3 linked regions of the Arabidopsis thaliana genome follow. The protein of the gene in region 1 purifies or fractionates together with the protein of each later gene. This does not show direct contact. Each region holds a gene or a part of one and is shown on either strand. Other genes may lie near its edges.

What was found.
Region 2: the proteins of AT3G62310 (region 1) and AT4G22285 fractionate together in Arabidopsis thaliana (co-fractionation; one large-scale study listed by BioGRID). This does not show direct contact.
Region 3: the proteins of AT3G62310 (region 1) and Hop3 fractionate together in Arabidopsis thaliana (co-fractionation; one large-scale study listed by BioGRID). This does not show direct contact.

What each region holds. Positions count from the first base shown.
Region 1 is NC_003074.8:23,058,978-23,062,731, forward strand, and holds the start of AT3G62310 (RNA helicase family protein), read right to left. Parts: upstream 1,755-3,754; 5' UTR 1,585-1,754; coding exon 1,306-1,584; intron 1,175-1,305; coding exon 972-1,174; intron 882-971; coding exon 1-881. Other genes in the region: AT3G62320 (Polynucleotidyl transferase, ribonuclease H-like superfamily protein), read right to left, coding at 2,828-2,945, 3,024-3,421. UniProt on the Arabidopsis thaliana protein: May be involved in pre-mRNA splicing.
Region 2 is NC_003075.7:11,780,809-11,784,562, forward strand, and holds the start of AT4G22285 (Ubiquitin C-terminal hydrolases superfamily protein), read right to left. Parts: upstream 1,888-3,754; 5' UTR 1,770-1,887; intron 1,350-1,769; 5' UTR 1,091-1,349; coding exon 731-1,090; intron 618-730; coding exon 373-617; intron 97-372; coding exon 12-96; intron 1-11. Other genes in the region: AT4G22290 (Ubiquitin-specific protease family C19-related protein), read right to left, coding at 2,391-2,583, 3,102-3,313, 3,445-3,600.
Region 3 is NC_003075.7:7,339,590-7,343,343, forward strand, and holds the start of Hop3 (stress-inducible protein), read right to left. Parts: upstream 1,773-3,754; 5' UTR 1,651-1,772; coding exon 814-1,650; intron 357-813; coding exon 68-356; intron 1-67. Other genes in the region: AT4G12410 (SAUR-like auxin-responsive protein family), read right to left, coding at 3,367-3,754. UniProt on the Arabidopsis thaliana protein: Mediates the association of the molecular chaperones HSP70 and HSP90. Mediates nuclear encoded chloroplast preproteins binding to HSP90 prior to chloroplastic sorting. Involved in acclimation to heat.

The sequences.
Region 1 (3,754 bases):
TAAAATCAAAGTGCACCAAGTCATCAATACCCAGTTTTTTCAAGGTCAGAACTGTATTTGCAAGGTTTGATCTCAATATTTCAGGATACGTCTGCGGCTGCAAGTCATTATTAAAACTCTTCTCTGTGTAAAGCCTGAAGCATTTTCCAGGCCGTGTTCTACCGGCACGACCAGATCTCTGGTGAGCACTTGCCTTTGAAATTGGGGACACCAACAAAGACTCAACACGGATTCGAGGGTTATAGACTTTTTGCTTAGCAAAACCAGGGTCAATGACGTAGACAATCCCATCTATGGTGAGAGAAGTCTCAGCAATGTTAGTGGAGACAACAATCTTTCTCCCAGGAGGACCACCTTCTGTTACAGGCTCTGGAGCAGGATCAAATATCTTCTGCTGCATCGCAGGTGGAAGAGTAGAATACAGTGGCACTACTTTAATAGGCCCCACTTGATCCCCAAGATTACCAACCTCTTTATTGATTTTGCGGCATGCATCTTCAATCTCCTCCTCCCCAGTTAAGAAAACAAGAATATCGCCAGGTGGCTCACACATGTGAATCTGGACAACAGTTCTAATAGCAGCCTCAAGATAGTCCCTCTCAGGCTCCTGAGTGTAAAAGATCTCAACTGGATGAAGCCTACCAGGAACTTTCATCAGAGGAGCACCGCTAAAATAATCCTGAAACTTTTCAGCTTCTAGAGTTGCACTCATCACAACTAACTTAAGATCAGGTCTATTTTTCAACACTTCTTTCAGAAGACCAAACAGCACATCTGTGGCTAGAGTCCTTTCGTGGGCCTCATCAAGAATAATGACTTTGTATCTCTCTAGAAGAGGGTCCGCCATTGCTTCTCTCAGGAGCATACCATCAGTCAAGTACCTGGTCATAGTGAGTAACACATGATTAGATACAAGTCCACAAATACATCAATTATAAAGATGAGAAGCTAAAAGAAGAGACAATGCTTACTTAAGAACCGTTCTGGGGCTACTGCAGTCCTCGAAACGGATGCTGTAACCAACTTCTTCCCCAATAGTTACATCCATCTCTTCAGCAACACGACGGGACACAGACATGGCAGCAACTCTACGAGGCTGTGTGCATCCAACCAACCACTTCCTACGCTTATCCGATGTTTCAGCATCCACAGCATCTATCACAAACTGTGGAATCTGTACAAATAAACAAAATTCAGCATTAGCCTTTCATTCTCTAGACAAAAGAAACTCTCCTCCATATACAATCATTCCCAAGCCTACATATCAAATTCCAAATATCTGAATGGAAAAGATGAAAACTTTACCTGAGTAGTTTTACCACTACCGGTTTCACCAACCAGAATTAGGGTTTGATTGTTGTTCAACGTTTTGAGAAACTCCTCTTTCTGCAGCCAGACAGGTAGAGTCCTCCGTTTCTCCAGAATGTCATAATATCTCTGTGAATAAGGCTTCCCGTTCCATTTATTGATCAGACTGTTGATTCCGCCGTCGGGAAGACCACTGGTTTTGGCGTTCTTCGCCGGAGCAGACGGATCGTCCATAACATCGAACAGACTAATTTTCCTCTTTCTCTCAGTACCCATCACGATACTTCTCTTACGAACAAATTACGGAGGTAAGAGAGATAGGACGAGGAAGCACAAGGCAAGGCCTTTAGCAAGAAGCAAGAACGATGATGAATGAAAATTTTATGAAAGCTAGGGTTCGGCTGCGTGAGTTAGAAGAAGAGAGAGGCGGCTTAAGTTTAATTATAATTTTCAATTTGACCCCAAATCTAAACAATATATACTTTAGCCCCCTCAAAATATTTGGAAAAGGAGCCAAGTGTTAGTTATGTTGGCTAATATAGGCTTTTGTAATAAGTATAAAGTTGTCAGGCCGGCCCAATATCTGAATATACTGAAATTATCGTCTTAACACTTCGAATTCATATTTTACTGGAATAATGAGGGTACATGATGAATCCAAGTGCTCAAGATATACTTGCATCTTTATAGGTAAAAGGGAATTTCAAAAGCCACATCATTTGGAGAGGAAACCGAAGAGTCGAAAGTTAAATGCATGTAGTACAGCTGTCTTGACCTTTAAGATTCATGAGGCAAATATTAGTAATGTCATAACGTTAGATTTCAAAAGCCACATCATTTGGAGAGGAAACCGAAGAGTCGAAAGTTAAATGCATGTAGTACAGCTGTCTTGACCTTTAAGATTCATGAGGCAAATATTAGTAATGTCATAACGTTAGATTTTATCTTCCTGAATAAGTTCTTCATGGCAACACATAAACCATTCCATCAAGTCTTCAAAATGCAATAATGCCTAAACTGAAACAAATCTTCTGTACACAATCAGACAGACTAAAAAGGTCTAATAACGATTGTAGGCTTATCCATTGTCTCTGCCGTTGGATTCCAGTACCCATAATTTTAAATTTTTAAAAGAGCCCAACTGTTCCAGGTTTGTGGGCTAATAATAGATTTGTAATAGGTTTTAAAATTTCAGGCCCAGCCCAATAATTAACGAGATGACAAGCCGAATATTTGTACCTTTTATGGACTAAATTATTTTGGTGAGAAGATTCAACCCTTTGGTAGCCGGGTAAAGTAATGGGGGTTGCGATTTACGAATGTCGCGTGTTGCAAAGTGATGAAGTTTCTAACAAGTAACAATCCCATACGGGCATACCTTACCAAATATTAGACCTTGGGGCCAAAATGATTTAAGATGGTGACAAAATCGTCCATTGAACTGCAGGCAATTGACGAGCAAAACAAGACAAAACATAGGAGAGACCGAAACAAACAAAAAAACAAACAGAGGCATGACTCAATACATAGCTTCTCTAATCAAATTCCCAACTTTGAAAGCCAAGTAAGCATTCGCTGCTGCAAGATTGATCTGATCCTCGGTAAGACTGTCATTGTCCCAATCTTCATAGATAGGGCTTGTTGGTTTCCAAAACGAGACCCAATGACTGAAATGAAGTTTGATCTCGCCACGAATCTAGCTGAGAGAGGCCCACGACGAAGGTCCGATATCAACGGCATTCTTGCAGGTCAAACCACACTCGCTCTTGAGCATTTTCAAAGCCTTGTTTATACCAACACCTGTAAAGGTGAAATCTGGAAGATTGAGGAAATTGGTGAGAGAAACGGGCAGCTTATTACCTTGTACATAAGGAAGCGGGATTATTAGGCAATTCTGGCCATCACTGAGCTCGAGAATCACGAGCTTGCTCTCCGGTGGGTATTCGCTATCGCCTCCTACAACCGATCGTTCTGTATCCAGACCGATGATTTTGTTCGCGTTTTCTTTATTACACAGAAATGTTCTCACTTCACTGGTAATGTCTCTGTCATTTCTAGCCACTGTCACTCTGATGCGACCACCATATCCAGTTTCTACAGTGGATGTCGACATCTCTCAAAGGTAAGGAGAGAATGGGATATATGTTTAAAACTTGGGAGATGCGTCCGCCATTATATAGGCGTAAAGGGAATAACAAAAGTCGCACCTTTGGAGAAGAAAACGAAGAGACAATACGACCCTTTTAATGTCACCACAAAGTTCTTTCAAGTTCCAACCAAGCTCTGCATTATTAATGTCACCACAAAGTTCTTTCAAGTTCCAACCAAGCTCTGCATCTTTATTGGGAAGCGCGGAAGTCGCAACTTTTGGAGAGGAAAACGAAGAGTCAAAACATAACTAATGCACGTCAGAACGAGATTTGGGGAAACTTTGAAATTAGTATTA
Region 2 (3,754 bases), on another chromosome or scaffold:
GAAAGGATTACCATTCCTGGAAGATAGTCGGAGCCATCAAGAGCCCTAGACCACTGCCTATTCTTGTCAAGCTCGTTTACTTGTGCTCTACTAAACCTGTAAATGGATAACACCGAAGCCTTCATAAAAAGGAACTGTAAAATCAAAGAAAATTTGACAAGACATGAAAGAAGAGTAATATGTTCAAGCTATCAAGAATAAAAATATAAATAGATGGTAGATGATACAGAGAACTAGCAAGAAGAAACTGATTGAGATAATAGTCAAAGCAATTTTGTTGTTGTTAACTACGTGCAAAGGCTCACATGTTCACAAATCAATACACAAAATGCAGTAAGAACTATGAAGTAGTAGTCACAAGATCTAATATACCTTGGGTTTAAAACATGGCGAATGTCATCCAAAGAAGGGTCATTGATCTCGTAACTATCAGGAAGACAATAAACCTTCTCTGTCAGAAGATTGATGTAAACGTGGTGTCCTGCTTCCAAGCTATGTGTATAAGCATGAGACTTCTGGCTTCTTCCTTGGAAGTACTTCCCACAAACAAGACACGCATACACATTCAGATTTGACAAGGACACAGAGCAAAACCTCTCAAAATCAAAATCCAACACCTGAAATTCAACATACAACATGAGTTTAGATACTCAACACCAAAAACGATTATACAATGAAGACAGCAGAAACATAACCATTGATCAAAGATTACAATCAAGAAATTAATTACCTGACGATTAACGGTATCAAGATAAGGACAATCACGGCGAACTTCAACATGGCGTGAATGCTTTCCCTTACCCTTCGAGACATCATCATCTTCGTCGTCATCGACCTCTTCTTGAGCTTCTCCTTTCACTTTGTTACCATTTCCCTCCCCTTTCGCAACTCCATTACCACGAGCTTGCGATTTCTTCTGCTCGTTCTCCTCTTCCTCATCATCATCATCGTAAGTATTAGCCAACGGCAGAAGAGGATTGTTGAAACCTAGTGGTGGAGGTGGTGAATCAGACCGTTCCATCACTCTCTTCCTCTTCACTTCTCTCTCTTCCTCAGAAACACCATTCTTAACTTCTCTTTCACCTTTCATTCTCAAAATTTTCCTTATGCTACAGCTTGCTTCAAAAACCCTAGAAGTCTAGAACACAAAATCCCAGCGTTTCACAAAGATCCTCAACCAAAGAAGCAATGATTCTTCCAAACAAACGCCCTAGAATTCAAATCAGAAGAGATCTGATAGACCGTTGATTCTATCCATCCTTTTGCCAAATCCTAATAAACCTTTCAGGCGTGATCAATCTGAATAAGAGATCTCCAGCATCAACAACACCAAAGAAGATAATCACACACTGCAAACAAAACAAAAAAGCCACTGTGAGATAAGTAAACATGAGTAAAACTGAAAAGATACTTCCATCAGAAAAAGAATGAAACTTGGACAAACCAACCAGCTGAAATCAATGCAGAATCTAAGATAAAGTACACTCCTTTACAAAGAAAGGATGGATCCTAGCTCAGAACCATAATTCTCAATTTCATTACATAACAAAAAAAGAGTGAAATTTGGACAAACCCATCAGCTAACATCAATGAAAGCAGATAGAGAATCTAACATAAAGTGTTGTGCTTTACTAAAAAAACAAAGAATTCAATCCCAAACCCATAATTGATAATTCAATTCATTACTATCAAAACATGTGAGCCTATAAGGGGGATGAGATCAACCAATAATCGATATTAATCGGTCATACGGTGAGCATAAAACTGACCAGAGGGGACGAGACTCGAGAGTGGAGGGAGACAGAGAAGCGTGCATCCGCCTTCGTAGAGAGAGTTTGGGGTTTTGTGTTTTCGCTATTCACAAGCAGAGTGAGAGACCGTAAATTAAATGGGTAAGTTTTGGGCTGTCTTTTATTTTCCACATTTGGGCTTTAAGTTTTAAGTTTCCACTATGGAAACCAATCAAAGGCTTCTACATGGGCTTTGTTGTCATCAGCTTCTCTGCGGCTTTCATGCTTACTTGTTTACTAGCACAACATTGCATGCACCTATTGCAGAGATGCCTAAGGTTTCCTTGGTGGATAAGAATAGTGGATAGGACATAATAATTATTTTAACAGAAAAGAGCATTTACACTTTGGGGCTCTATGTACACAAACATAAACCCCATACAAGGGGCAAAAAAAAAAAACAGAATTAAGAAAGAAAAACAAAAGCTAATAAGGTAAAAGGCAAAGCCTATTTGGTTTTCTTTTTGAACCAATTTGGCTGTCCTCTCATTCCCTCTCTTCTCTTCTCTTCTCTTCCTTCCTTCAGTCTCGTGAGCCTAACTGTTTAAGCATTTTTATATTTGAATATCGGGCAAAAGAAGCATTACATACATATTGGTTTCAGACAGGAATGACATCAGCGTTTTGATTATCGTCGCAGGTTATGATTAAGCCATCTGCGTAGGTTGGGAAGAGGCAGTGCCACCACCGGCACCCACTGGAGACTGCTTCTGCCGGAGGAACTATCATCAGAACGTTGTCGTGCCTTCTTACCATCCCCATCACGCTCACTGTGCTTCCTTCTTTTATGTATCTGTTGCATCACACACAATCAAATATGATTTTAAATCAGTAACAAAGGGATTCTCTTTGACAGCAAAAGTGAAACCAATGAGCTTTCTTGTGTACTAAAAACGATCATTTGTACTAGAAACGGTGACTTTTGGGTCTCATTAGCTTTAGACTTAATTCAAACTTCTAAGCCCTTTAACTTCAGACTTATCATGCACTGATGTGAGATGTTTAAGCCGTTAACGTTGACAATAGTTGCTGGATTTCTTCCTACAATACATGTCTCATCACATCTTTTTCCATTACTGTGACTTTTAATGTGGAAGAATAACCAACGGTACCAGTCAAAGTAAACGCCTACATCAACAGTTTAATACTTCCCATTCTACTAAAGAAATCAGGGTTTAAAAGGTTGTAATTTGGGTAAAATAAGGATCCAAGGTTTGGATAGTGACTCTAATAACGTTATTTTTAGATTTTGGCTAAGATACTTCGTGCAACCCGAAGAACAGTTTAAGATGCGTGTTGAATATAACATACCCTTCTTTGAGACGCATAACACGGTCATCAGCTGAGAGGTTGCGATCTGACAGCCACTTTAAGAAGCTGGGAGATAAATCTTTGTTCTGCGTTGTTACATTAGCCACTGTCGCCGGTTTGACAAAAGGAGAAACTTTTGATCCATATCCTGCTTTTACTAGTGCTCGCAATCCAGATTGGAAATCCGAGATGTAAAAATCCGACACATATTTCTGCCAAAGAAATATAACCACAACAAGAATCATCAAACTTCACCATCTTTTCTTGTCATATAAGATCTGAAAACTTTGACCAAATCACTGAGACAAATGGTCCTTTTGCAAGAGGAGAAAAAGAAACTAACCTCTGCATGTCTAGATCCCCAAGAAAAGCATCGATGTTTTGGGTTTGCGGATTTCCCACCAAAACCTTTGTATTCATACAACTCCGTGGATACATAAACGCATCTTGGTGTTCTTTGGAACGAAGATTCCAAAGGAATGCTTCCACATGTCACAACCTACAAAAACATAACAAAAGTTTTAACATTTCCAGCAAATAAAAGACACACCAGTGACCACACTACCATATCTACATCAACATTGTTAATTCAGACAATATAAATGGTCTGTCCAACGCATTAAGCTAGCTGTTGACGACTGTAATCCAATCGA
Region 3 (3,754 bases), on another chromosome or scaffold:
AATGCTTAATCCTAAAATCAAATCACGTTTCAAGATAGTAAGTGTAACTGAGGATCAGTATATATACCTTTCTCTCGCTCCTCCTCGGCTATCGTAGGATCAAAGTACTCCTGTTGCTCCAGCTCTTTCTTGACTTTCTCAGCATCGTTCAGTTTCTTCAATGTATCTGGATTACGATGCTCTGTAAGAGCTTTCTGGAAAGTCTCAATCGCAGGCTCAAAGTCTTTCGAGCATCTCGCCATTTTCACTAGAGCAGATCCTTTTCTAGTCAGAGCTCTTGCTATCATCTTGAAGTCAGAACGAAGTTCTCTGCCTCTTTCAACAGCCTTGTCACAGTCTTCAATGCACTCCTCGTACTGATAATTTCATTTGAGAAATGAAGTAAAACATCACACAAGATACAGTAAGATCCAGATGAACCAACTGTTAATTAAACAAGACTAATGCAAGAACACATAGACCAATGGAATTGAACCACTCAGGATACTTGAAGATTAATTGATTCCAGTAATAATAAAGATAACCACTTCTACAGAACAAGTGAATAAACTCCATCATGAAGCCATAAACCCTAAATTTCTACCTCATCTAAAGCTAACTACTTTCAGCACAAGTGAAAACTTAAGTTCAAAACTCTTAAATCTCCAACAAGAAGCAGATGAAAGTTATCAAAACCCATCAAGGTCATCACAAATGTACTAACTAGTGACAAGCTATACTAAACAGATAAGCTACTTCAAGAACCCAAGATCTCCTCCTTAATCTTAAAGTACCTAAAGGTTTAACTTTTAAGCCAAGTATAAGACTTAATACCTTCCCCATCTCAAGATAAACAGCAGCACGATTCGTCAAATACGAAATATCCTCATCATCGAGCTCCATGGCCTTAGTATAATGTTCAACAGCTCTCCCAAAATCCTTCTTCTTATAAGCAACATTTCCTTCCCCTTTCTCCTTCAAAGCCTTCTCCTTTCTCTCCTTCTTCTGCCTCTCCTCCTCCGTCAACTCCATAGGTTCCATCTCCGGTTCAGGCTCTTTCCTCTCATCAGCCTCCTTCATCTCAGTATCTTCACCACTAGATCCACCAAACTTCACATTCAACAAAACCCCTAAAGCCTTCATAACTCTCTTATCCTTCATATACAAATTAAGATTATTAGGGTTCCTCTGAATCTCCTTCATCGTCTTAACAAAATCATCCTGCTCCAAATAAACCCTAGTCCCCGGATCCGCCGTCAACTTCTCCCACATCTCCTTCCCTTGAAACGCATCAACAAAAGGATTCGACTTTGACGAAACCCTAGATCTCGAAGCATCAGCTAATCCCGATTTAAGCATCTCATTACTCGGATCAATCTCTAATCCTTTCTTATACGAATCAACCGCTTCATCAAACTTGGACAATCCAATAAACGCAGCACCTAATCGGCTATATCCTTTAGACCAATCAGGTTTAAGCTCTATAGTCTTCTTCGCGTCTGATAAAGCTTCTTCGTAACGGTGGAGAGAAGCGTAAGAAGCGGATCTGTTTGAGTAGAGGATGTGATTGGTTGGTGAAAGGTTGATTGCTTCTGTGAAATGGGTTATTGCGGTGGCGTAATCGCCGGAAGAGAAAGCTGCGTTTCCTTTGGATTTTGCTTCTTCCGCCATTGAATTGGATTTGGTTTAGGTATCGTGAGAATCTGCTTGATTGCATTTTTAAAAACAGAGGAAGATGAAGAAGAAGGCACAAGAGAGTTCTCGAAATTTCGAATTTTTTTGTGTATGTCGAGAATGTTCTTTTGTAGCCGTGGAAAAATGTTTTTAAATCTTAAAAATACAAAAGGAAAAGAAACGCTAGAGAAAGGGGTCGAACCTCTGACCTTGTGGTTAACAGCCACACGCTCTAACCAACTGAGCTACTCCAGCTTTTTGATAAGTGATTCGTTATTTATGTAAATATACCGTCTAGAAAAGAATAAACATCCGTTTATGTTCTGTGCTTACTTTTTTATGCTATGTCTTTGTCTTCTGTCAGAAGATTAAGCGTCAGAAAGACATCGTGGAGTTAGCAACGAGACGATCAAAATTCTTCAATCCGAAGTAGTAGTAAACCAGAGGTGAGAAGACGACCAGTTTGGGAGAGAAAACCAAATCGGAGGTATGTATGGTGATTAAAGTTTTGGTTATGATAAATAATATCATCATAAGCGAATAGTTTTGTACGTTTTTGGTTTAGGTTTTAATCAAATGTGTCTTTACTTTTAATAAGTTTAGGTTTGATATTTGGTTTTTTTGTTTTTTTCTAAACATACCACATATAATCATATATATTAATACTCAAAGAACAAGTAGTACATGGTTTCTCCAAATACTTGTAACCAACCAAAGTGGTAAACTACAATCTAAAAAGCAAAATACAAATCACATGAAGATGCAAATTTAGCAAGTGCATCTCCTCTGCACATTTGTTCTCACCTCATCTTCTAAATTTTAACATATTTGATCACTTTCCTACAATATGATTTGAATTTGTATTCAAATTTGGGAAATTTTGAAAATTACCACCTTTATGATACCATTTTTCAAAAAGACCAGAAAAAGGTTGTTCAAAAATTCTAGTTTCATATCATTTCTTAAGAAAAATCTTCTAAGCACTATAAAACATTAAAAATTTTGTGAAAAATCTTATAAATGTTTGATATTATGCATTATAGAAACTTTATAAACGTTTTTATAATATGCTCTATAAAAGTTAATAAAACAAATTCTATGATTGCATTTTGTGTTACATTGAAAATTAACAAAAAAAAAAAACAGTGGTATTATTAAAAAAAAATAAAAATCATAAAAGTGGTATCTCAAAAATTCTTCTGAAATATATTTAGATAGAAGTAATTTCATAATTAACATTATATGGAAATTCTAAATATTGATTGTTTCACTTCAATTGGGGTTTATAGTGGATGATAGGTTTCAGATACAGCAATACACCATCACTCACTGTATTTGATATATTGAAATATAAGTATTCAAAAATACTGATAGCCCAATTTCAGTTTTTTCTGTTTTTTTTTTTTAATTTCAGTTTTTATGTGTGTAATTTTATAAGTTAGAACATAATTTCAGTTTTGTTCTAACTTATAAAATTACACACATAAATCTAAACCATATAGTATTATAGGATGTCAATGTGGTCTATCATCCATGAAATAAACTGATACAAATAATTATCTTGTATTTATGAATCGGTATTTATCGTATAACATAGATGGTAAAAAAAACTAATATTCACAAATTAAAGGAAATCATCCTTCTCTGTACTGTATAAGTGTATATAAATTTTTTTAATCCTCTTTTGATTTTTGACTATTTTATAAATTCAAATTATATAATCTTGTAAGAATTTTTCCTGCGGCAATGATCCCATGCAGCGATCCTCAACTGGACTTTTTCAAAATCCGAAACCCGACAAGGAATAGTGATCCGACCCGGTTGATCAAACCCATGAACCCGCTCCGCTTGCTCCAACAATTCTCCAAACAATGGATGATTAAAGTAAATCACCGGCACCACAACTCGCCGCGTGTCATCGTCTGATTCGCCGACATGAACCACCAAATGTCCTCGAGGAACAACCCGGTTCGACTTTTTCGGATCCTTACCCAACCGGATCTGATTCTGACCCGGATTCTTCTTGCTTCCACCGCACAATCTCTTAGCTCCACGGCTTAAACACCGTGCTAATGACCGGATTCCGGTAACCGGGTTTGTG